Rattus norvegicus: one gene and its partners. The protein of the gene in region 1 interacts with the protein of each later gene in a pairwise test. Links are inferred from orthologs where the notes say so. Each region holds a gene or a part of one and is shown in the gene's direction. Other genes may lie near its edges.

Region 1 (7,649 bases):
ATGTGCATCAGTGTTTTACTGTATGTATATCTCTGTGTCGTGTGCCTACAGTTCCCTGGGAGACCAGAAGAGGGCTTTAAAACCCCTGTTTTGAAGTTTACAGACAGTTATCAGGGTTCATGTGGGTGCTGGGACTCAAACTTGGGTCCTCTGTAAAAGGACTTTAATCTCTCCTCCCTAGCCTGCTGCCCACCCCACCCCCTTTTATTTTGTTACTTGTTCATCAATGTGCCTCTGACCTAGAGCCTAGCACAGGGCCTGCTGTGTAATGGGCGCTTTATGAATATTTGTTGAATGAACCACACAACTACATCTGGTTATACCTATATCCAATGTATATGTCAGTACTCAGATGTTATCTCAATACTGATACCTACATCCTCCTTTCACTCATCAACATAGAATCTATCTCTGGTGTGTGCCTATGCAGATTACTCAGTTCATTTCCAATGTAAACATGGTTGTGTATCTACTCTTGGTATCTGAAGTATACATCTGTGTTATAATAGGGACTTCAATAAGTGATGCCTACCTTTAGGATAGATGAAAGGACAGGCAAATACACAGTTAACTATAGGTCAACTGTTCTCTTACTAACAGGTATGATCAATGCATTAAAAATCAGACATATGCTGGGTATGGTGGTGCAAGCCTTTTGTCCCAGGACTCAGGAGCCAGAGACAGTGGATCTCTGAGTTCGACACCAGCCTGGTCTACAGAGCTAATCCTGAGATAGCCAGACAGAAACTTTGTCTTTAAAAAAAAAAAAAAGACATATAAGAGCTGGAACATAGCTCAAGAGTGCTTGCAAATCCCTGTATGCAAATCTCTGTGTGCAAATCCCTGTATGCAAATCCCTACATGCAAATCCCTGAGTTGTATCCCCATCCCCGACCTCCAAGAGAAAACAATCTAAAGCCATATTAGTAGAAGTTACTAGTGATGTGGTGGGTTGATGGCTCTGCCTTCTTTTTCTAGCTGGTGTTCTTTAACATCCCCTTGACGGCTTACACATGCTGGAGTCTGCTACAGCGCTGCTTTGGTCACAACTTCAGGTCTCATCTCCTCCAGGGAAGATACGTGCAGATTATTCCTGTTCACCTGCTTATGCTTCTACTGTACACGTGGCAGGTTTATTCTTGCTACTTCCTTCATGTGACGTATGGCTCCCTCGCCTTTCTACTCTCCCCATTGAGGACCTGGTTGACATTGCTGACACCTGTACTCGTTTATCGTGTGTGGACACTGAACTCCACTGAACTTGGAATATTCATGGTGCAGTTAAAAAGTCATCTGAGCTCCTGAAGTCCATGGCTTACCGCTAGCGGCCTGGAAGAAGTCCAGCCTCCACATTTGTGGCCCAGATCTCTGCCCCAGTGGCAGATGGGAAAGCCAGTATCAGTGGGTGAGCTTCAGGAAGCTGTCATTCCTTGGACGTCTGAATGTTGGAAGTGTTTACTACTGATTCCTGCTGTGTGGACTGCAGAAAAGTCTAACGAATGACTCTTCTTCAGAGGCAAAGAGCCCTAATCAAGGAGATTGCCAGGGTGGGGTCTCTGTGTCACTGAGTCCCTCAGCACTGCTGTATTTATTAAGGGTCATCCTGTGAAAAGCATCCAGCCCAAACTTGGAATTCAGGATGCCATTTTATGCCTAGGGAACCTGTGGAAAGTGGGCCTTTACCGCTCCTGAGACTTGACTTCCAAGCCTGTTTTCCCAAGAATTATGGGCTTCCTGCTTCCTTAGTCAAAGCTGTTTTCAACTAATAAATGAATGAATGATAACCACAAACATTGGGTTGGAGAGATCAGTGGTTAAGAGCATGTACTTTACCTCCAGAAGACCTGAGTTCAATTCCTAGCAACCATGTCAGATGCTCACAACTGCCTGTAACTCTAGTTCCAGGCCAGAGCCACTGTGGACACCTACATTTATATGTGCACAGACTTACACGTAATTTAAAAAAATAATAAAAGATAAGTATTAACAAAGAAATATCACAAACGGATCTGCAATGTTGATAAACCTATGGGAACCAGAAAGTGGGCCTGGTGTTTGGGGGTAGGAGAAACAGTCACCGAAGCTGGAGTCAGCAGTTAAAAGTGCTGGTTGCTCTTCCAAAGATCACAGGTTCGATTCCCTTAACCCACATGGTGTAACTCCCGGCCTTGTGATCTGATGCCCTCTCTGGCCTCTGCAGGCACTGCCACATACATCTTTGCAGGGAAAAGGCTCCGTTACTTAAAAGAATCTCTAATAGGTCAGAAGATGCCTAACTGGGTCTTCCTGTAAGGAGTGGCCTAGTGTCACGGAGGGAGGGGTAGTGGGGGTAGTCAGGGACAAGCACTTGAACAAGTCTCTAGATTTGCAAGGGCAGGTGAAGGAGGCGTGGCTGGGTCTTTAGGCCCGGCCAGCGGGGCGTGGGCAGGTTTCTGGATGGGCTGGATTCGGGTAGGCGGGTCTCTAAGCGGGCGGAGGCGTGGACTGATGGCCAGGCTGCCTGGGAAGGCGGACTCACTACATTGGGGAGGAAGGGGCGGGACGCGATGTGTGTTGCCGGAAACGAGATGAGTTCTTCAGCACCGGAAGTACTGGGGGCGGGGTCAAATGGCTTAAGTGTCTGGGTTAGTTCCCGAAGAGAGGCTGCGATGGCGAGCTCGACAACCCCAGTCTCGTTCCTTGCTCCTCCTCTAGAGCAGCTCCGGCACTTAGCAGAGGAGCTGCGGTCGCTTCTGCCTCGAGTACGGGGTGAGTTGTGGGAATCTGCAACCCCAGGCTCCGGGTAGGGAGGTCGGGCGTCAGGTCAGGGCTCCTCTCACATGTCTTTTGCTTCCCGGGTGGTCCGGCCTTCCTCAAGTCGGCGAAGCCCAGGAGACAGCCGAGGAATTTAATCGAGAGATGTTTTGGAGAAGACTCAGTGAGTGTCTTTGCCGTTGCGGACTCTTCCTCCATCTCCCTGCATCCTACCCTCTTTTCCTTCTGCTGTCCCCTGAGATGACAATTCCTCCCAGTCCTCATCCCTTCTGCTACCCATTCTCCGCACTTGAGGCTGAAATATAAAACCATTTCTGGAGTTGTTTTGGAGTGTTGGTAAGGGTGGAGAAGGGACCCGTTATCTAAAAAGTCCAAGTGGCAACTTTAACCTTTTAACACTAACTTTGGCACCCGCTGCCTCTGACACCCCCAGATGAAGCAGCAATGAAAGTGTCTGGGGAAGCCACTGTTCTGACCACACTCTTCTCTAAAATTCCATCGCCATCTCCACAGGTGAGCTTTACTTCCGGAGTTTTTTTTTTGTGCTGTCTCCTTAAGAATCCTCTAGTTTTCTTATCTTTTGCATTCAAGCCACACTTACTTCCCCCATTTATCAAGCGAGATTACAGTTCTCACCGCATGGGATTGTTGTAAAGGCCAAATTGCCAAGTGCATAGGGTAGAAAGACCTTCTAAATTTAGTCTGAAACTCAGCCGGGTTAGTTCCTAATAATTTTTAAAGCCCTTGTTGATTTACAGCTGTTTCACATACATATTCTCTATCTGACAGATGAGTAAGCCTGTTTAGAGGCTTGGTTCAATAAATAGTGGAGGAGAAGTTAAATGCCTTCACACTATCTAACAACACCTGCTATATACAAAACCCTTTAGTGAGAAGTTTGCTGCTGCTGCTGCTGCTGCTGCACACCTTTAATCCCAGCATTTGGGAGGCAGAGGCTGGCTGCTCTCTTGAGTTCGAGACCAGCTTAGTCTACAGAGCCAGTTCCAGGATAGCCAAGGCTGCCCTTCCTTTTGTAATGCTTTTTAGAATTGTCCGGTATCTACCTAATTTCTTTATATTGTGGGAAGAGTACATCATAAGGCCTGACTCATGACAGGTTTTCATAAAACATTTAATCATGCTTATGGATGTCTGATCTCTTCCTTAGTAAATGGGTTGGCAGCATTAATGTTGACCATTCATTCTGAATTTCACCTCGTAGGAAACCCAGAGGATCTGTGAGCAAGTCCACATTGCCACTGAGGAAGTAATTGCAGCATACTACACATTTCCTAAGGATCAGGGTAAGTCACTGTATACACAGTAGTGTTGGATGTACAGGCTAGACCTTTGCTAAGGGAGTAGACTGTGTCCTAATATGTAAGCATGAAACATGTAAACATTATGTGTTTATCTTCAATGTAATATTATATATTTATATGTAAACACATTATACATGTCTATTTTTCTTCATTTTTGAGCATGTGACTTTCCTGTGAAATAAAGTCAAAGATAATTTTATATGTGAGTGACCTGTGTCACTCCATATGGGAAGTGAGTGAGTCCATTATGTGAAGGTACAGATGCTATGTAACTGTGATTTCCCTATCATTACTGCCCTACCTAATTCTTTAAAAAGTGTGTGTGTGTGTGTGTGTGTGTGTGTGTGTGTGTGTGTGTGTGTAGGCACACACATGGGGAATGGGCTCTCTCCCTCCATTGTGGGTTCCTGGGATCCAACTCAGATCTTCAGGCTTGCACAGCGAGTCCTCACCTGCGGAGCCATCTTAACTGGACATTACATTCTTTATTTTATGTTATGGGTACGGGTGCTTTGTCTGCATGTGTGTCTGTGTACCACATGTATGTCTGGTTCCTGCTGAGGTCAGAAGAGGTTGTTGGTTCCCCTGGAACTGAAGTTATAGACAGTGTGATCTGCCGTATGGGTTATGGGTTATGGGTTATGGTTATTGGTTGTTCCTGGGTCCTCTGGAAGAGCACTGAGTGCTCTTAACTGCCAAGCCTTATCCTCAGCCCCTCAATTGGTCCTTTATAAAAATTGTTCATTATCTGTGTCTGTGTATGTATGTGCACACGTGGGTGCATGTGTTTACTCAGGTGCTTATGCATGTGTATACGAGTACATGTGGAAGCCAGTATCTCCACATGATCATGAGAGAGTCTTCCCTGGAGTTCACGGATTCCCTAGGGGAGCCTCCTACCTCTGCTTCCCCAGCACTGGCATTATGGGTACACTCCAGTGTGTCTGCCTTTCTCCAGTGTGTAGGTCTTGGGAATTGAACTCAAGACATCATGGTTATGTAACTGGCACTTTCAAAAATATCTTGTCTTCTCGGCTCCTAATCCCTTTTCAGTCCATTCTAACTGCTATATATGCTTGCTGGATCTCAGCTCCATACCCATGACCAGGCCATCCCAACCCTCCTCCTCCTCCTCCATTACACCAGGACCTATTTGCAAACCCCTTCACAAGTTAAAGTACACCAACCTGTAGATTTATACCTTCATTGAAGCTCTACAGAGAAAATGAATGAGAACGTACCATAGTTCATCAGGGCTACTTACGCATGTTTTAAACTCCCAGTGTTTTGCTCACACTTATCTAAGGGCAGTGTCCTTCATGAATGAATACAATTGGAAAGACTTGTTTCCAAAACTGTTGGAGAGCAGCTCTTGGGAGTGGCAAGAGGGGCAATAAAATGCCTGAGAATTTAAGTAAGGCTGGAGCCCCGCTCTGATGGGGGATGTAAGCGTGGGTATCAGTTACCTCATGGGTCTGGTACACTAAGACTGCAGAAAGCAGGTGGTGACATTTGACATGGCCAGACAGCTTACTGTTTGGGTTTGGCCATAGGAATCACCCTGAGAAAGCTGGTACGAAATGCTGTCCTGGACATCGTGGATGGCACGGCTCAGCTCCTGGATGCGCTCCTTGCTGCTCCATCTCAGAGGTAGTGGGTGTGGCCGTGTGGGCTAACGGTTAGTGGGGGTTCCTTGACTCAGGGAGGGGAAATTCACTCCAACAGCAAAGTCACTCATAGTGGATGTTATTGGGAGACAGAAACCTAGGTTATTGATATGACCTTGTTAATTCCTTTCTCCAGCCCTGAGAATGGTGACCTGATTTCCTGCAATAGTGTCTCAGTTGCATGCCAACAGGTGGCTGAGATCCCAAAAGGTGGGTAGAAGTAAACTATTACCTGCCTCTCTGGTCTAGCTTCCAGCATCGCTTTATGCATGTATTTTAATTTCTATGAAGACGCTAGTGAAATAATATATAGTTTATTTCCATTAATATTAATTGATTCAATACTTTTTGCCATTCTTCATACTGGGTTTTTGGTTTGGTTTTGGCAGTGCTGGGGATTGAGCCCAGGGCATGCCAGCCAAGCCCTGTACCTCTGAGTACAACTCTTCCCAGTTTCCGGGCCAACATCCCCCTAGCCCCTCCCCTTCCCCTTCTCTATGGGTGTTCCCCTCCCCATCCTCCCCCCATTACTGCCCTCTCCCCAACAATCACGTTCACTGGGGGTTCAGTCTTGGCAGGACCCAGGGCTTCCCCTTCCACTGGGAGCACAACTCTTAAATTCAGACTCTTCCTCTTGCTGTGGCTCTGTCTCTAGTTAGATAGTTTGCTCTCCTATTCCTGTCCCAGGAACAGCATTGGGGAACACTGAAAGGAACAGCATTGGGGAGCACGCTGAAAGGAACAGCATTGGGGAACACGCTGAAAGGAACAGCATTGGGGAACACGCTGAAAGGAACAGCATTGGGGAACACGCTGAAAGGAACAGCATTGGGGAACGCTGAAAGGAACAGCATTGGGGAGCACGCTGAAAGGAACAGCATTGGGGAACACGCTGAAAGGAACAGCATTGGGGAACACGCTGAAAGGAACAGCATTGGGGAACACGCTGAAAGGAACAGCATTGGGGAACACGCTGAAAGGAACAGCATTGGGGAACACTGAAAGGAACAGCATTGGGGAACACGCTGAAAGGAACAGCATTGGGGAGCACGCTGAAAGGAACAGCATTGGGGAACACTGAAAGGAACAGCATTGGGGAGCGCTGAAAGGAACAGCATTGGGGAGCACTGAAAGGAGCAGCATTGGGGAGCACACTGAAAGGAACAGCATTGGGGAACACTGAAAGGAACAGCATTGGGGAACACTGAAAGGAACAGCATTGGGGAGCACGCTGAAAGGAACAGCATTGGGGAGCGCTGAAAGGAACAGCATTGGGGAGCACGCTGAAAGGAACAGCATTGGGGAACACTGAAAGGAACAGCATTGGGGAGCACGCTGAAAGGAACAGCATTGGGGCGCACGCTGAAAGGAACAGCATTGGGGAGCACGCTGAAAGGAACAGCATTGGGGAGCACGCTGAAAGGAACAGCATTGGGGAGCACACTGAAAGGAACAGCATTGGGGAACACTCTGAAAGGAACAGCATTGGGGAACACGCTGAAAGGAACAGCATTGGGGAACACGCTGAAAGGAACAGCATTGGGGAGCACGCTGAAAGGAACAGCATTGGGGAACACGCTGAAAGGAACAGCATTGGGGAGCGCTGAAAGGAACAGCATTGGGGAACACTGAAAGGAACAGCATTGGGGAGCGCTGAAAGGAACAGCATTGGGGAGCACTGAAAGGAGCAGCATTGGGGAGCACACTGAAAGGAACAGCATTGGGGAACACTGAAAGGAACAGCATTGGGGAACACTGAAAGGAACAGCATTGGGGAACACTGAAAGGAACAGCATTGGGGAGCACGCTGAAAGGAACAGCATTGGGGAACACTGAAAGGAACAGCATTGGGGAACACGCTGAAAGGAACAGCATTGGGGAGCACGCTGAAAGGAACAGCATTGGG
Region 2 (6,767 bases), on another chromosome or scaffold:
ACCATGACCAAGGCAACTCTTATAAGGACAACATTTAGGGCTGGTTTACAGGTTCAGAGGTTCAGTCCATTATCACCAAGTCGGGAACATGGCAGCGTCCAGTCAGGAATGGTGCAGGAGGAGCCGAGAGTTCAACATCTTCATTTAAGGCTGCTAGCAGAATACTGGCCCCTAGGCAGCCAGAACAAGGGTATTAAAGCCCACACCCACAAAGCCACACCTACTCCATCGAGGCCACACCTCCCAACAGTGCCACTCTGGGCCAAGCATATACAAACCATCACACCTTCTGTCAGATGTTAATGACCCCTTTGTGTTCTCCTGTGGGCATCAGAACAAGCAACAAGACCATGCACCTCATCTATTCATGATTTCCTCACACACAATACCAGTCACATGCATACCCTTCAACAATGTGGGAGGTGCAGTCATAACACACACACACACACACCCTGGAAGGAACCACTTCTAGTGTTGTTGGTGAGGAAGGGCAGGAAAGAGTGATACAAGGGCATTGGAAAATCTGAGGAGAATTTAGTAGAGTCCATTGACAGAGATGTGGGCAAGGACAACGGAGTTCCCAGGGGCAACACAGCACCTGAGAGAGTGAGAAGGGAGCAGTGTCAGAACCTTAAACCAGAGGGCTGTGTTCGTGGATGGGCTGTGCCAATGTGACCTTGAAGAGGGGAAACAGAAGGAAATCTGTCATATCCTTCTCTTCTTTTCTCCTGCTGCCCTCTCCCACCTCCTGGTCAGACCCCAAAGCTAGGGAGCCCATTGAACTAACTTTGTCTGGTCCAGGAAGTTGGATGAGCTAGGATGAAGAGACAGCTTCAGGGGCTACAGGAGAGATCACTGATGACTCGAAATAATGGCCTCCAGGAATAAAAAGATAGCTCAGTGGTTAAGAGTATTGGCTGTCCTTCCAGAAAACCAAAGAGTTCAATTCCCAGCACCCACATGATGGCTAAAAAACAAGGGTTCTGTTGCCCTCTTCTGGCTTTTGGGAATACTGCATGCATGTAGTACACAGACATGGATGCACAGAATAAAATAAAATTAAAGGGGAAAATATTAAAAAAGACAAGCCGGGCTGTGGCAGTGCACACCTTTGATCCCAGCACTCAGGAGGCAGAGGCAGATAGAGCTCTGTGAGTTCGAGGCCAGTGTGGTTTACAGAACCACACTGGTTCCAGGACAGCTAGGGGCTGTTGAATAGAGAAACCCTGTCTCAAAAAGAAAAAGAAAAGAAGAGAGATGGGGGGAGGGGGCATATATATGCCCTCAGAGTTTCACAGCGCTGAGGTGGGAATTGGATGCGATTGAAATCACGCTATTGTATGGTGCTATGACAGAATAGCACACACTAGGTTAATTTATGAGGAAAATAAGTTGTGCTCAGGATATACCCCAGTGATAGAGTGCTTGCCTACAGTACAAGGCCTAGGGTTCAATCCTCAGTTCCCAAAAGAAAAAAAAAAAAACGAAATTATTTCTCACAGTTCTGCAATATGAAAACTCTAAGAGGTTCAGCGTTACATGAGGAAGAGGGTGCCATGAGGGGCTGCAAGACATAGAGTAGAGGGCTTGGCTAATATATATAAACTCCTGTGTTCTATTCCCAGAACCATACAACATGACGGTGCACCCCTTTAATCCCAGCACTGGGGAGGTTCAAAGCTAGAGTTGGGGGGTTGGCGATTTAGTTCAGTGGTAGAGTGCTTGCCTAGCAAGCGCAAGGCCCTGGGTTCGGTCGGTCCCCAGCTCCAAAAAAAAAAAAAAGAAAAAAAGGAAAAAAAAAAAAAAAAAGCTAGAGTTGGGATTGGTCAGCAGTTAAACGCCTGCCACACAGGTGTGAGGGTCAGAGTGCGAAATGCCCACAAACCCAGATAAATGCCAGGTGGGCGTGGAGGCCTGCCCACAGTCCACAGAGACAAGGATCCACAGTCGCACACGTGCACGTACACACACACACACACACACACACACACACACACACACACACACACACTATATTTTGAGTACAAGGTCAGTTTTGGCTACAGGAGACCTTGAAAACATCAACGGAGTGGGGATAAAGGTCAAAAGCCCTACCTGCTGAGCTACCTCACCCACCCCACCTTTTTGGGTTTCATAGGGTTGTTTACAGTGAAGGGTAAGCGTGCTATATGCTTCTAACATTATGCAGAGTATGCGTTCTTTTCTGATTCCTGGGGTGTGCCAGATCAGGCTGCTTATTTATTATATATCTACATCTTTCAGTATGTAGCTCAGGCTGGCTCTATGGGCCAAGCATATGGTACTACAGGCGTGGGCCACTTCTCAGGCTAGTTTTGATAACTTCAGAAATCAGAACATCCGAGCTGGGAGGTGTAGCGCGGCAGACACTGTGGGAGACGATGAATCCTTGCCTCAAAACCAAACCGGACAACCAAGTCCCAAACAACAGCACCCCTCCCCCACCTCCGCCCAGGGACTGGATCCTTAGTACCACAATTAACAGATGTGAAGAGCGGCACGCTTGGGGAAAGCGAACAATCAGTCTGGACTTTAGTGCCAAACTTAATCTCAAAAACAAAGAAGACCCTCCCGGTCTTGCGCACATTCTGCGTGCGCATGCAAGTGCGGAAGGGAGGTACTTTTTTTACAGCCTCGCCTCCTCACACTTGTCTCAGTGGGTGCAAAACCTTTTGGCTCGTTCATTGCCCCCACACCCCAAATATATTTCACGTTGCAGAATGAGACCTGGAGGTTAACGGAGGCTTCAGCTTCTGCACAAATAGCTCGGGTTCTGGGGGTCTACCCTGGGCTAGGTTCCTTGATATGGTGTGAGGCCTCCCCTCCCCATTCCATTAAGGTGGTTGCTTCCACGCCACCCGGAAGTGCTTGTGGCCCGGTTCCGGGGGTGAGCTGGTGGCAGGACATGGACGTGCCTGGCGGAGTCTGCAGCCGGAGCGGAGCACTTTCGTCTGCGGATCCGGCTCCTGCCTCGGTGACCCTGGCGGAGCTCCTGCATCTGGTCCAGAAGGGCCAGGAGCTCCCAGGCCTGGAGAAACGCCACATCACTGCGACCCACGGTGAACCCACGGTGTCTCTGCTCCCACGGAAGTCCAAGCCCTGGGAAGACGCGGGCTCGGCCGCCTCATCCTGCACTGCCGCCCTAGACTCGAGGACGCAGCCTCCGACCATCGAGGAGCCGTCCCGGGGCAGCCCAGCCTACCAACTCGATGGAGGCCCAAGGGATTCCTGAGGCTCGAGGTGTTTCCGCAACTGAGATCCGGAGGGCGTGACAGGATCCTACACGAACTTGAGAGTCTGGACACATGCCACCTTTACTCATCTTTCTGCATCTGCCACGATCTGTCTCAAGCAGACCCAGTATTCATGGGGGATTCAGTGTTGCCCAGTAATCTTGGTTTTGGACGGTGAACTTCAACTTTATACTGTGTTCTAGTCCATCTGTGTAATTGAAACAAGTTTTCCTAGTCACAGTAACAGAGCACGACCTCCTGGGTCAGCTTATTCTAATAATACTGATAAAGTGAAACATATCTAAAAAGCGTTGGGGATTTAGCTCAGTGGTAGAGTGCTTGCCTAGCAAGCACAAGGCCCTGGGTTCGGTCCCCAGCTCCGAAAAAAAGAAAAGAAAAAAATAAAAAGCATTTCTAATTTTGCAGTCGTTTGGGTTTGATGAAAAAGTTACTTCCCGGAATGATGCATAGAACTCCTGTATCACGGAGGCGGGGGTGGGGTGGGGGGCGGAGTTGAGGGCTCAGTGGTTAAGAGCACTGACTGCATCTCCTGATAGAGTCTGACAAATACAGAGGCAAATGCTCACAGGCAACCATTGGACAGAACAGGGTCTCCAGTGGAGTCGTTAAAGGACGGAAGGAGCTGAAGGGATTTGCAACCCCATAAAAACAATACCAACGAACTAGACACCCCAGCGCTCCCAAGGACTAAACGACCAACCAGAGTACACACGGAGCAACCCATGGCTCCAGCTGCATATGTAGCAGAGGATGGCCTTGTTGGGCATCAATGGGAGAAGCCCTTGGTCCTGTAAAGACTCGATGCCCCAGTGTAGAGGAATGGCAGTGTAGAGGATGGGTGAGCACCCTCATGGGAGCAGGGCGTTGGAGCATAAGCTAGGAGGCTGTGTGTGTGTGTGTGTGTGTGTGTGTGTGCGCGCGCGCGTGCGCGCAGGAAAGGGGTTAACACTTGAAATGTAAATAAAATAACCAATTAAAAAACTAGTAGTGGGGTTGGGGATTTAGCTCAGTGGTAGAACGCTTGCCTAGGAAGCGCAAGGCCCTGGGTTCGGTCCCCAGCTCCGAAAAAAAAGAACCAAAAAAAAAAAAAAAAAGAGAGCACTGGGGCTGGAGAGATGGCTCAGAGGTTAAGAGCTCTTCCAGAAGTCCTGAGTTTGATTCCCAGCAACCACATGGTGGCTCACAACCATCTGTAATGAGATCTGATGCCCTCTTCTGGTGTGTCTGAAGACAGAGACAGTGCACTTACATAAAATAAATCTTAAAAAAAAAAAAAAAAAAAAAGAGCACTGACTGCTTTTGCAGTTAAATTCCCAGCAAAACACATAACTCACAACCAGCTGTAAGAGGGATCTGATGCCCTCTTCTGGTGTCTGAGGACAGCTACAGTGTACTTCTACACATAAATCTTTTAAATCCTGATTGTTGGAACAGCTAAGTCAGGTAGTGCGAGCAGAGGCAATCTGAGAATTGGTGCCCCTTGTAGGCTTTCACCTCCCATCATGCACCAGACATCCCAGTTAAGCTCTGGTTTGGCCAGATGCCTTACCCACTGAGCCATCTCCAAGGCTGAAAAGAATTGTTTGGAATTAAACCCAGGATTTCTGAAGGAGCATCAGTGCTCTTAACCTGAGTCGCCCTTCCACTCCCCTACCCCAGAAGACTTGTGAAACCCTGTCAGATGCTTTGGGGCTGGGTGAACAGCTTTTAACCAAGAGCTGACCTTGGGCCCCCTAAAGTCTGATTTTGAGGGCAGTGTCTGATAGGCCTTTATTACATGGATCTGTGTCTGCCTCCACATTGACACCACACCAAGCTTCCCTGTAGTCTTTCAGACAGGCTCAGTGGCTGTTTCTCCATAGTCTATAAAACCCAAATGGCAGGCAGTATGCTAGCTGCGGGAATGCCTATCCATGTAGTTAAGTAGCTAGTACATCTGGCTGATAACCAGCAATATGGACAGCAGAACGTCTTGTTTTGGGGGTTTCAACTCATTGTTAGGGGGCAACACCACTTGTTTTTTTGACAGTCTATTTAACCCAAGCTACCTTTGAATTTGTGGTCCGCCTGGCAGGCATCACCAAGCTTAGAATAAACCACTTTACCTTTGGGGCCCGAAGGCACATGCTAAGAGGACTTGCTTCTGCAGAAGGCCTAGAATTGGCCCCAGCCCCCACAGGAACCTTCACTTGTCAGTATATCTAGCTCCAAGACATGGGGACAGTTTCTGGCTACTTTGGGACCCACACTGATGGCACATACTCACACACAAAAATAAATTTTAAAAATCATCTTTTACTATATAGAAAAAACCCTTGCTTTAAACTCTGAGCAACTAGAAATGGAAGACTTGGCTCAGCTCATCCAGGGGCTCTTACACAGCAGACAAGCACCACCAACACTGCAGTGCTCCCCAACTTAGTAAGATCCAGGACTCATTTCTCCAAGACTGCAATGCATTTTTGGTCACCTCATTTCCCAATGCCCTACAACAGTTACCACTGATATCCCAAGGCCCCATGAAGTCAGGGTTATAGGCAAGCCCAAGGGAAGCATGTGTTAGGAATGTGGACTCATGTGGGTTTTAAGGAAAGGCAAGACGGGAATCCTTAAGCCAAGGGCGAAGTTTAGGGGGCGTTTCCTGGGTATGGGAAGTTTAAAAACAATAGTCTTTCATATCATTGGTTTTTGTTGGTCTTTAATATTTTCTCTGTGTGTAGCCCTGGGTATCCTGGAACTCTGTAGAACAGGCTTGCCTGGCCTTGAACTCAGGAGATCTGCCTGCCTCTGCCTCTCAAGTGTTGTGACTAAAGGTGTGTGCCATCAGGCCCAGCTAAACACTATTTCGTAGTTGAAAACAAGTGGTTGAACTTCAGTCCCCTCCTGTAGCACAGAACAAGACTAACTTCACAGACCAATGTGCATAGAAAAACAGGCTGTCCTCACAAAAGACTTCCGTGTGCCAAGAGGGTGTGTGTCACCGTTGTGGAGTTCCAAGCACAGTGTATGGATTTATGCTTGTGTTTTTCTAAATCCTGAGCTACAGGAAAGGACTGTCACTGCAGGTCAGGGTACAAATGCTGTTACACTGATCAAGGGCAGCAAGCCCCAGAGGTCCCAAAGCGGTTGTAACATGGCCTCACATAAGACTGAGCACCACCATTGTTGCCTTTCTGCCTGAGGAACAAGCCCCCAGGCTTATACACCAACAGCTGGGGGTGGGCGTGGGTTTCAGGGCGGGGCGGAGGCAGGGCTGCTGTGGAGTTTAAGGCTAGCCAGGGCCACACAGGAAGACGTTGTATTGAACAAACCAACCATCTCTGACAAAAATAAAAAGTAAAACCAAGACCCTCTTCATCCAGATTCAAGTGTGCCCCTTGGTCTGCCCCACTGCTTTAAGAGTCTTGGAGGGCGTGGGAGGGATACTTGGGCTAGTCGCTCACCCAACATTAAACACCGAGATGGAAGGAAGGCAGGGCAGTTCTTTCCTCCACA
Region 3 (7,667 bases), on another chromosome or scaffold:
TAACCTTTCTGAAAAACCAACATCCTGCTGACTAATAGATATGACAAACCTGTGACCTTTCTGACAACCTGTCAACATCAGTCTACTCCCTGACCACATGAATATTGTGTCCTTGGCCTTCGTAAATGTTTCTTACTTCCCCCCTCTCTCTGTTACCCATGTTATGGTATAAATTCAGCCTTGCGAAAAAATAAAGTTGTCGCCTTGATCAGACTCTTGTCTTGGCATCCTTCTTCGTGTCCCTTGTCCCCCATTCTCTTCCAGGTACCTTCAGACCCTTTGTTTACAGTACCAGATGAGATTTTTTTTTTTTTTTTCCAGAGCTGAGGACCGAACCCAGGGCCTTGTGCTTGCTAGGCAAGTGCTCTACCACTGAGCTAAATCCCCAACCCTGAGATTTTGTTTTTTAAAGGAACAAATGAATTGGAGATGTAGTCTAGTTGGTAAATATCCAACAAGGTATAGAGCATGTGTGGGGGTACAGGTCTATTATCCCAGAACTCAGGAGGTGGCAGGCAGGCAGGATCAGAAAATGATTAGCTGAGGCTAATGAGGGCACAGATATTTAATCCCAGCAGAGGGAGGAGGATCTTTGAGCTCAAGGCCAAGATCTTCAGTTCAGGACAGACAGGACTATATAGTGAGACTTCAGAAACAAAGATACCAAAAGAACGTTGATTGAGTGAATGACATGGCAACTAAAGATGGTGGCAGGTTTGTCAATAAAGGTACATTCAGTATATGCTAGTTTACATATAAAATACAACTATAGAGATTACAATACAGACATAAGATAGTCATAGGGTTGGAGATAGCTCAGTGGCCAAGCATGGGCTGCTCTTGTAAGAGGCTCCAAGTCTGGCTCCTGACACACCGTGTTTACCAACTGCCTGAGATTTTAGTACTAGGAGATTCAAGGTCTGGCCGCTGCATTGAAATGCACAAGACACAGACACATGAGTAAAATAAGTTTTGGGGCACTGGCTGATGGGCTGTTTCGAAAGCAAGATGGTTCCATTCCCAGAGCCTACTTGGTGGCTCAGGACCACCATAACTAGTTTCAGGGGATCCAACACCCTCATCTGACCTCTCAGGGCACCAGGCTGCAATGCAGGTGGGGCATATACATATTCCGGCAAAACACCCATACGTACAAAAATTAGGCTGTGACTTCCTCACTTAGAGGCACGTATAGCCTTCCCAGTCATTTGTGGGGATTTTCTGTGCTACTTAGACTCAACTCACACGCACCAGTTCTAGCCAAGTAACTCATTCCCTTTTTTCCAGAGACAGGGTTTTTCTGTGTAGCTGTGTCCTAGAACTCACTTTGTAGACCAGGCTGGCCTTGACCTCAGAGATCATCTTGCCTTTGCCTTCCGAGTGCGAGGATTAAAGGCATGTGCCACCATTGCCCAACTGCTTTTATTTTTGAGACATAGTCTCAATGTGTCACTTGGCCTAGAACTCACTGGGTAGAACCGACTGAGCTGTAACTCGCAGGATTTAAAGGTGAGAGCCACCATGCCCCATTTGAAGGAACTCTGGCCAGCTCTAGTATGGTGAACATGGCTGTGGCAAGCCTTGTCCTCCCCATTCTCACTGTCTTGCATAAAAACATTAGATTACATTTCTCAAACTGGCCATCAAGGTCTACTACATGGCCACTTCCTCTTCCTGAGGCTGACCACCACAGTCCAGTTATCAAAATCTTAGTACAGCAATCAAAAGCCTCCTTTGGCTACCCTAATTAACATGCCCAATTAAAATGAAAGACTTCATCCTAACAGGGGACTTCCCCCTTTATAAATCACCATTTAATCCCTCCCCTGTCCTCACCAGGACAAATAATCTCTTACCCTTCTCCCTTGCCTTTCTCCTCTTTGTACCCTTTCTTGTCTCCTACTTGTCCTGTCTTTTGTCACCCATCCCTGCCCTCTGTCCTTTTAGGACAAATAAATCTCCTTTATGCTAAGAACTTGGTCTTGGGGGATCCTGAGCTGAGACTTTCCTATGGTAGCTTGCGTTTAACTTAAATATTTCGTGGGGCTTTAATTTTTTTTCTTTTCTTTTATTTCTTTCTTTCTTTCTTTTTTTTTTTTTTTCGGAGCTGGGGACTGAACCCAGGGCCTTGCGCTTGCTAGGCAAGCGCTCTACCACTGAGCTAAATCCCCAACCCCCTAATTTTTTAAAACTTGTTTTTGAAGGGCAAGCCAAGTTTTACTGAGCTTGAAAAGTAGCTCCCTATAGGGGAGGCGGACTCAAAAGAGTTGCCCGTAATTTGCATTTTTCTTGTCAGCGTTTAAGCTTTTAATTTAGATATCCCACGAAATAAAGGGTCGTTCTTATAGCACTGGCTAGTCTAGAAGTCACTGTGTAGCCTTGGCAAGCCTCATAGTTGGTATTCTCCTGCCTCTACCAGCTGGGATGCTAAGAGCATGCCACCACAACTGATTTGTACCCAGACATTTTTACAATCGGGGGATGGCTTTTTCATTTCTACATCTAATTAGTTGTCGACTTAGAACAGAACACGTTTCATTTCATATATCCCTGTCCAATTCCTGAGTTATCTTAGTGACGTCAGTAGTTACTGTAGTACTGGAATATGAGAGTGAACAATATGGAGCTGGCCCTGTTCTTCTGCAGTTAGTAACATCAGAAAATTATCTACTCTATGGAAGGGACTTAATGCGATTGAAACTCAAGAGAGACAAGGTTTTTTTAGAGCTGGTGACAGGATACTCAGTCGCCAATCAGCCATTCCATTCTAAGTGACAGGTTCTGAGCACTTCCTCACCCTTGTCGCCCCGCCCCCGTCCCGGGTTATTTGCGCCTGCGCATGGCCACACCTCGCGGTAGCCCCACTCACTTAAAGGAGCGTGACAGGCGGGAAGAAACTGACGCCACGCGGGAGGGCCTGACTAATGGCAGCGGGCCAGAGGCCGCCGGAAGTGTTCAGTGTTGTTGACGGAAGTGGAGGAGGCTGTAATGGCGGCTGTGACTGAAGTTGTGGTGAGTACCTCCGGCTTCGCGTAGGTGTTAGTCTGGGAGACGCCGGGGCGGGGAGACATGGGGCGAATCCCGGTGCGGCTACCGGGGAGGCCGGGGTGTCGGGCCCAGGCCCGAGGCGTGGCTGTCGGGGGACGTCGAGCCTGAAGCCGGGTATGACCGCAGGTACCCGCGGACGGCGCGGAAGCCAGGCCCTTGGCGGCCGAGGAGCTGGCGGCGCAGAAGCGAGAGCAGAGACTGCGCAAGTTCCGTGAGCTGCATCTGAAGCGGGTGAGTGGCGGGGACACGGGCCAGGCCGGGCGCGGGGCTGGAGGAGGAAGGCGCCCCAGATCTCAGAACGGGGCGTTCCCGGGACCAGATCTCCAGATGGTCAGGACTCAGGTTGAGATCTCTTTGACACAGGTCAAAAGCCACACCCGCTTGCTCTACCCGGTCCCACCCACAAGACTGGGTGTATGTCAGGTTAGGTGTTCCCTCTTGTTCCATGATGCTTCCTTTTCATCTAGGTAAATATTTAGTTAGAAACAGGAAGGAACTTCTTATTCTTAGTAAGACCTTTCTCACCTTAAAAAGAGTGAGCACACACTTTCCCTCTTTCCTGAGTTCAGACTCAATAACTTATTTTCCGTTCCTTGTTTGGATACCCACTCAAATCCAAAGCATGGCTGCCCAGACACTCTGGACATTGACATTCTTTATGTGAAGACAGCTTCCTCTCCCTTCCTTCCCCATGTGACAACTTGCCCATTTGACCCTTTTGCTGAACCTGCTTGTTTTTCTTGTAATGTAATTGATAAGGCATGGCTGTATTTTCTCAGTGTCTCCCTTCTAGCTCCTGCCAAGATTCCCAGCCCTCTTCACTTGCTTTTTGTCTTGAACTTGTCTTGAAAAACTTGAATAAAGTTTTTCTTGGGTTGTCGAGATGACTCAGTGTTTAGAGCCCTGGTACAAGCCTGACCACCTGAGTGGGATCCCTGAAACTCAGGTCAAAGTGGAAGGAGACAACTGACTTCGCAGGGTTATCCACAGAGCTCTCCACTAGGCTGAGGCATGCACGTGCACACACAAATAAGATGTATTTGTTTTTCTATGTATATGTGCTCAGGTGTCATGGAGTGTATGTAGATGGCAGAGGACAACAGGAGTAAATTGGTTTTCTCCTTCTGTAATGTGGGTTCCGGGGATTGAAGTCATCTGGCTATGTGGCAGTCACCCTTAACTATTGAACCATTTTGCTAGCTCAAAAGAGCTTTTTTTTAAAAAAAAGATTTATTTATTATATATGAGTACACTGTAGCTGTCTCCAGACACACCAGAAGAGGGCATCAGATCTCATTACAGATAGATGGTTGTGAGCCACCATGTGGTTGGTGGGAATTGAACTCAGGACCTTTGGAAGAGCAGTTAGTGCTCCTAACCACTGAGCCATCTCTCCAGTCCCCAGAACTAATTTTTTTTTTTAAAATGGCCTTTGAGCCTCCAAGAATATAAAACAAAACAAACAAATGAACCAGCACATCTCTGAAAATTTACATTGTAAACAGTGGTTCTCAACCTTCTTCATGCTTTGCTGTTGTAAATATCTGGTATGTAGGATATCTGATGTGTGACCCTTGTGGGGGTCACAGCCCACAGGTTGAGAACCGCTGTTCTATCTGCTGGGGATAGACCAGTGGGTCAAGCACTTGCTGCAAAAGACACCAAGAACCCACATACATGCTGGGTGGGCGTGGTGCCTGCCTCTAATCCTAGCACTGTGGAGGCAGAGACAGGATCTCTGGAGCAAGCTGAGCAATCAGCCAGACTAGCAAAACACTGAGTTCTGAGTTCAAGTGACCATCTTTGCCTCAATATCTAAGGAAGAGATCAATTGAGCAATACACCCAACATGTCTTAGCCTTCACATGCATGTACACTGCACACGTGTGTCCATGCACATGTGAACATCCACAACACACAGTAAAGAAATATTCAAAGCCAGTCTTCACATGCTACGCAAAAAACCAATCCCACAAGTATTTTTCTAGAAAAAGTTAACGTAGTAAGTCATGTGCTTAGATGTTGCTTATAAAGGGAATGTTTGCAGACCGTGTGCCTGGAGCTTTGGAGCTCGTCTTCCTGATCAGACATCATCAGTCCGTGGCCTGCCTACATTCTATTTAACCTAACGTGCTCTCGGGCTTAAAGTTGCCATTTCTGGCTTGGCAAGTTTATAGACTTCTTGACTACATAGGGAGATGGAGATTGAGGCTAGCCTAGAGTACATTATGCTAATTTTACAGCATTAATGTTTATCTGATTGAGAGCTCTTTACTTCCTGGGTGGATGTCCCTTCCTTTCCCTTGTCCTGGAGTAACAGTTTAGAGATTAACAGGCATGAAAGCACTCCAAATCCAAACTGAGGTTTTTGGTTTTTGGGTTTTTTTAAACTGTGTTAAAAGGAGACCGTCTTTCAGGCTGGTGAGATGATGCTCAGTGAGTGGATAGATAGCACTTGCTGTGAGAAGACTGAGGACCTAAGTTTGGTCCCCAGAACCCACATGGTGGAAGAAGAGAGCTGTGGCCTGGGAGCTGACCTCTGACCTGCACAGAAACTACGAGGCACAAAAACACTACAGGAACAAAATACACTCATAAAAATCTGTGATTGCTACTGTACCATGGTGGGGTGCAGTGAGGGCGCTTTGACAACCTTTATTCTGAACCCTTTATGCAAGGGACCACCCAACCGAATGGGCAGGGGTGACGTAGCCCTGGGACTCTGAACACCAGCTCAGCAGCACAGCATCTCATTCTCTTTTTTTTTTTTTTCATTCTCTTTTAAACCTCAGTCGGTTCCCTGCTTAGTTTAGCTCACTTGCTGGGCTTTACTGCCTGCAGGGTAAGTGGGGTCCCTTAGTCACTGCAAATAAGACAGGGTCCTTCTCCTGCTTTATCAGATGGCCTGTTCTCTTACGGTTTTAGAATGAAGCTCGTAAGTTAAATCACCAGGAAGTTGTGGAAGAAGACAAAAGACTTAAGCTGCCTGCTAACTGGGAAGCCAAGAAAGCACGTCTGGAGTGGGAACTCCAGGAAGAAGAAAAGAAGAAGGTTTGGAAGCCTCTGCCCCTCCCTTCACTGAGACAGGAGAGCTGGTAGCTGAGTAGGTGGAGAGGCCACTTACCTAAGGGAACCTTTCTCTGCTTGTCTGTAGGACAAGCACCATAATGGCTACTTGAATGAACTAGGGGTTCTGTGAATTAACATCTGCAAAGCATTTAAAAAGGACTCCTGCTCGGTTCTGTTGATTTTATTACATTTTTATTTTGTATGTGTGTGGGCACAAGAGTGGAGGTCAGAGGACAACCTAGAGGGTCAGTTCTCCTCCACCATGTGCCTCCTGATAAGAGCACTCAGGTGCTTGGCAGCAAACACCTGTATCCCTTGAGCTACCTTGATGGCCTTACTTGACACTTTGATAGAGTCTTTGTTCATTTAAGAAAGGTCAGATGGGTAAGCGTGGTGTGTCACACCTACAGTTCCAGCACTTGGGAAGCTGAGGTGGGAGAATTGCTTTGAGTTTGAGGTCAGCTCAAAAAAAACAAAAAGTGGGAATGCATGCTGTGTGGCAGGGTGGGTGGTGCGGTGGGTAGCGCTGCCTGTCCTTTCAGGAGTGTGCAGCTCGAGGGGAAGACTACGAGAAGGTGAAACTGCTGGAGATCAGTGCGGAGGACGCTGAGAGGTGGGAGAGGAGGAAGAAGAAGAAGAACCCTGACTTGGGGTTTTCAGGTACAGCTGGCCTGGCTGACCTCTGCTTTACTGTGTGGGCCTGTTGGACCAAGGCTTCTGCTTTAGTGAGAGCGCATGCCCACTGACCTTCATGGAATATTCTTGGAGGCCAAGGAGAACCCGGGGCTTCCTGTCAATCTGCTGGCTGTGTTGGCCCTTAGTGTAAAGTTAGCCTTTGCTGTTGCAGCCATTTTGTTCCTTAGGCTTATTCTGTAGCCCAGGCAGTCTGCAGACTCAGGACCCTCCTGCCTCTGCCTCCTGAGTGGGGGCTCACAGGGATGTGCCACCACCCCTGACAGAATTAGCCCGTCCTCTTGTCAGCCTGTTGGGCAGAGGCTGTGCTTAGGATAGTGCCACCACCCCTGACAGAATTAGCCCGTCCTCTTGTCAGCCTGTTGGGCAGAGGCTGTGCTTAGGATAGTGCCCTGTGCAGGTGCGACAGTTTTGAGTTTTCTTTTATAACGAATGCCCAGATAAGGACGCCGATCGCCTCTGGCTTTCCTTTTGTTTAGATTATGCTGCTGCCCAATTGCGCCAGTATCACCGGCTGACCAAGCAGATCAAACCTGACATGGAAAGCTACGAGCGACAGAGAGAAAAGCAGTAAGTCCTCAGGCAGAGTGCAGAGCCGATCTGGGGAGGTGGGTGTGAGCACATTCCTAAAGACACATGCAAATACAAACGAGTTAAAGGGGTTATTTACTTATTTGAGACATTCCTACTCAGTGATTTGGGCTGTTCTTTTTTTTTTTTTTTTTTTTTTTTTGGTTCTTTTTTTCGGAGCTGGGGACCGAACCCAGGATTTGGGCTGTTCTTAAACTCACAGCAATTCTGCCTCAGTCTCCTGAGTGCTGGGATTATATGTGTTTGCTCAATTTAGTGGTGAAGTG

The links. The genes of interacting proteins can lie anywhere in the genome.
Region 2: the proteins of Ccndbp1 (region 1) and C9h6orf226 interact in binary tests that used the Homo sapiens proteins (3 or more experiments, as listed by UniProt). The two-hybrid records come from large-scale screens. The link is inferred for Rattus norvegicus from reciprocal best matches to the Homo sapiens genes CCNDBP1 and PEX39.
Region 3: the proteins of Ccndbp1 (region 1) and Syf2 interact in binary tests that used the Homo sapiens proteins (3 or more experiments, as listed by UniProt). The link is inferred for Rattus norvegicus from reciprocal best matches to the Homo sapiens genes CCNDBP1 and SYF2.

What each region holds. Positions count from the first base shown.
Region 1 is NC_086021.1:128,413,589-128,421,237, forward strand, and holds the start of Ccndbp1 (cyclin-D1-binding protein 1), read left to right. Parts: upstream 1-2,648; coding exon 2,649-2,748; intron 2,749-2,857; coding exon 2,858-2,917; intron 2,918-3,187; coding exon 3,188-3,267; intron 3,268-3,976; coding exon 3,977-4,058; intron 4,059-5,629; coding exon 5,630-5,726; intron 5,727-5,879; coding exon 5,880-5,953; intron 5,954-7,649. Other genes in the region: Tmem62 (transmembrane protein 62 precursor), read left to right, coding at 979-1,305. UniProt on the Homo sapiens protein: May negatively regulate cell cycle progression. May act at least in part via inhibition of the cyclin-D1/CDK4 complex, thereby preventing phosphorylation of RB1 and blocking E2F-dependent transcription.
Region 2 is NC_086027.1:21,702,517-21,709,283, reverse strand, and holds C9h6orf226 (uncharacterized protein C6orf226 homolog), read left to right. Parts: upstream 1-2,541; 5' UTR 2,542-2,923; coding exon 2,924-3,250; 3' UTR 3,251-3,676; downstream 3,677-6,767. UniProt on the Homo sapiens protein: May be a peroxin involved in the PTS2-mediated protein import pathway.
Region 3 is NC_086023.1:152,437,202-152,444,868, forward strand, and holds the start of Syf2 (pre-mRNA-splicing factor SYF2), read left to right. Parts: upstream 1-2,969; 5' UTR 2,970-2,988; coding exon 2,989-3,012; intron 3,013-3,174; coding exon 3,175-3,279; intron 3,280-5,973; coding exon 5,974-6,099; intron 6,100-6,659; coding exon 6,660-6,777; intron 6,778-7,289; coding exon 7,290-7,380; intron 7,381-7,667. UniProt on the Homo sapiens protein: Involved in pre-mRNA splicing as component of the spliceosome.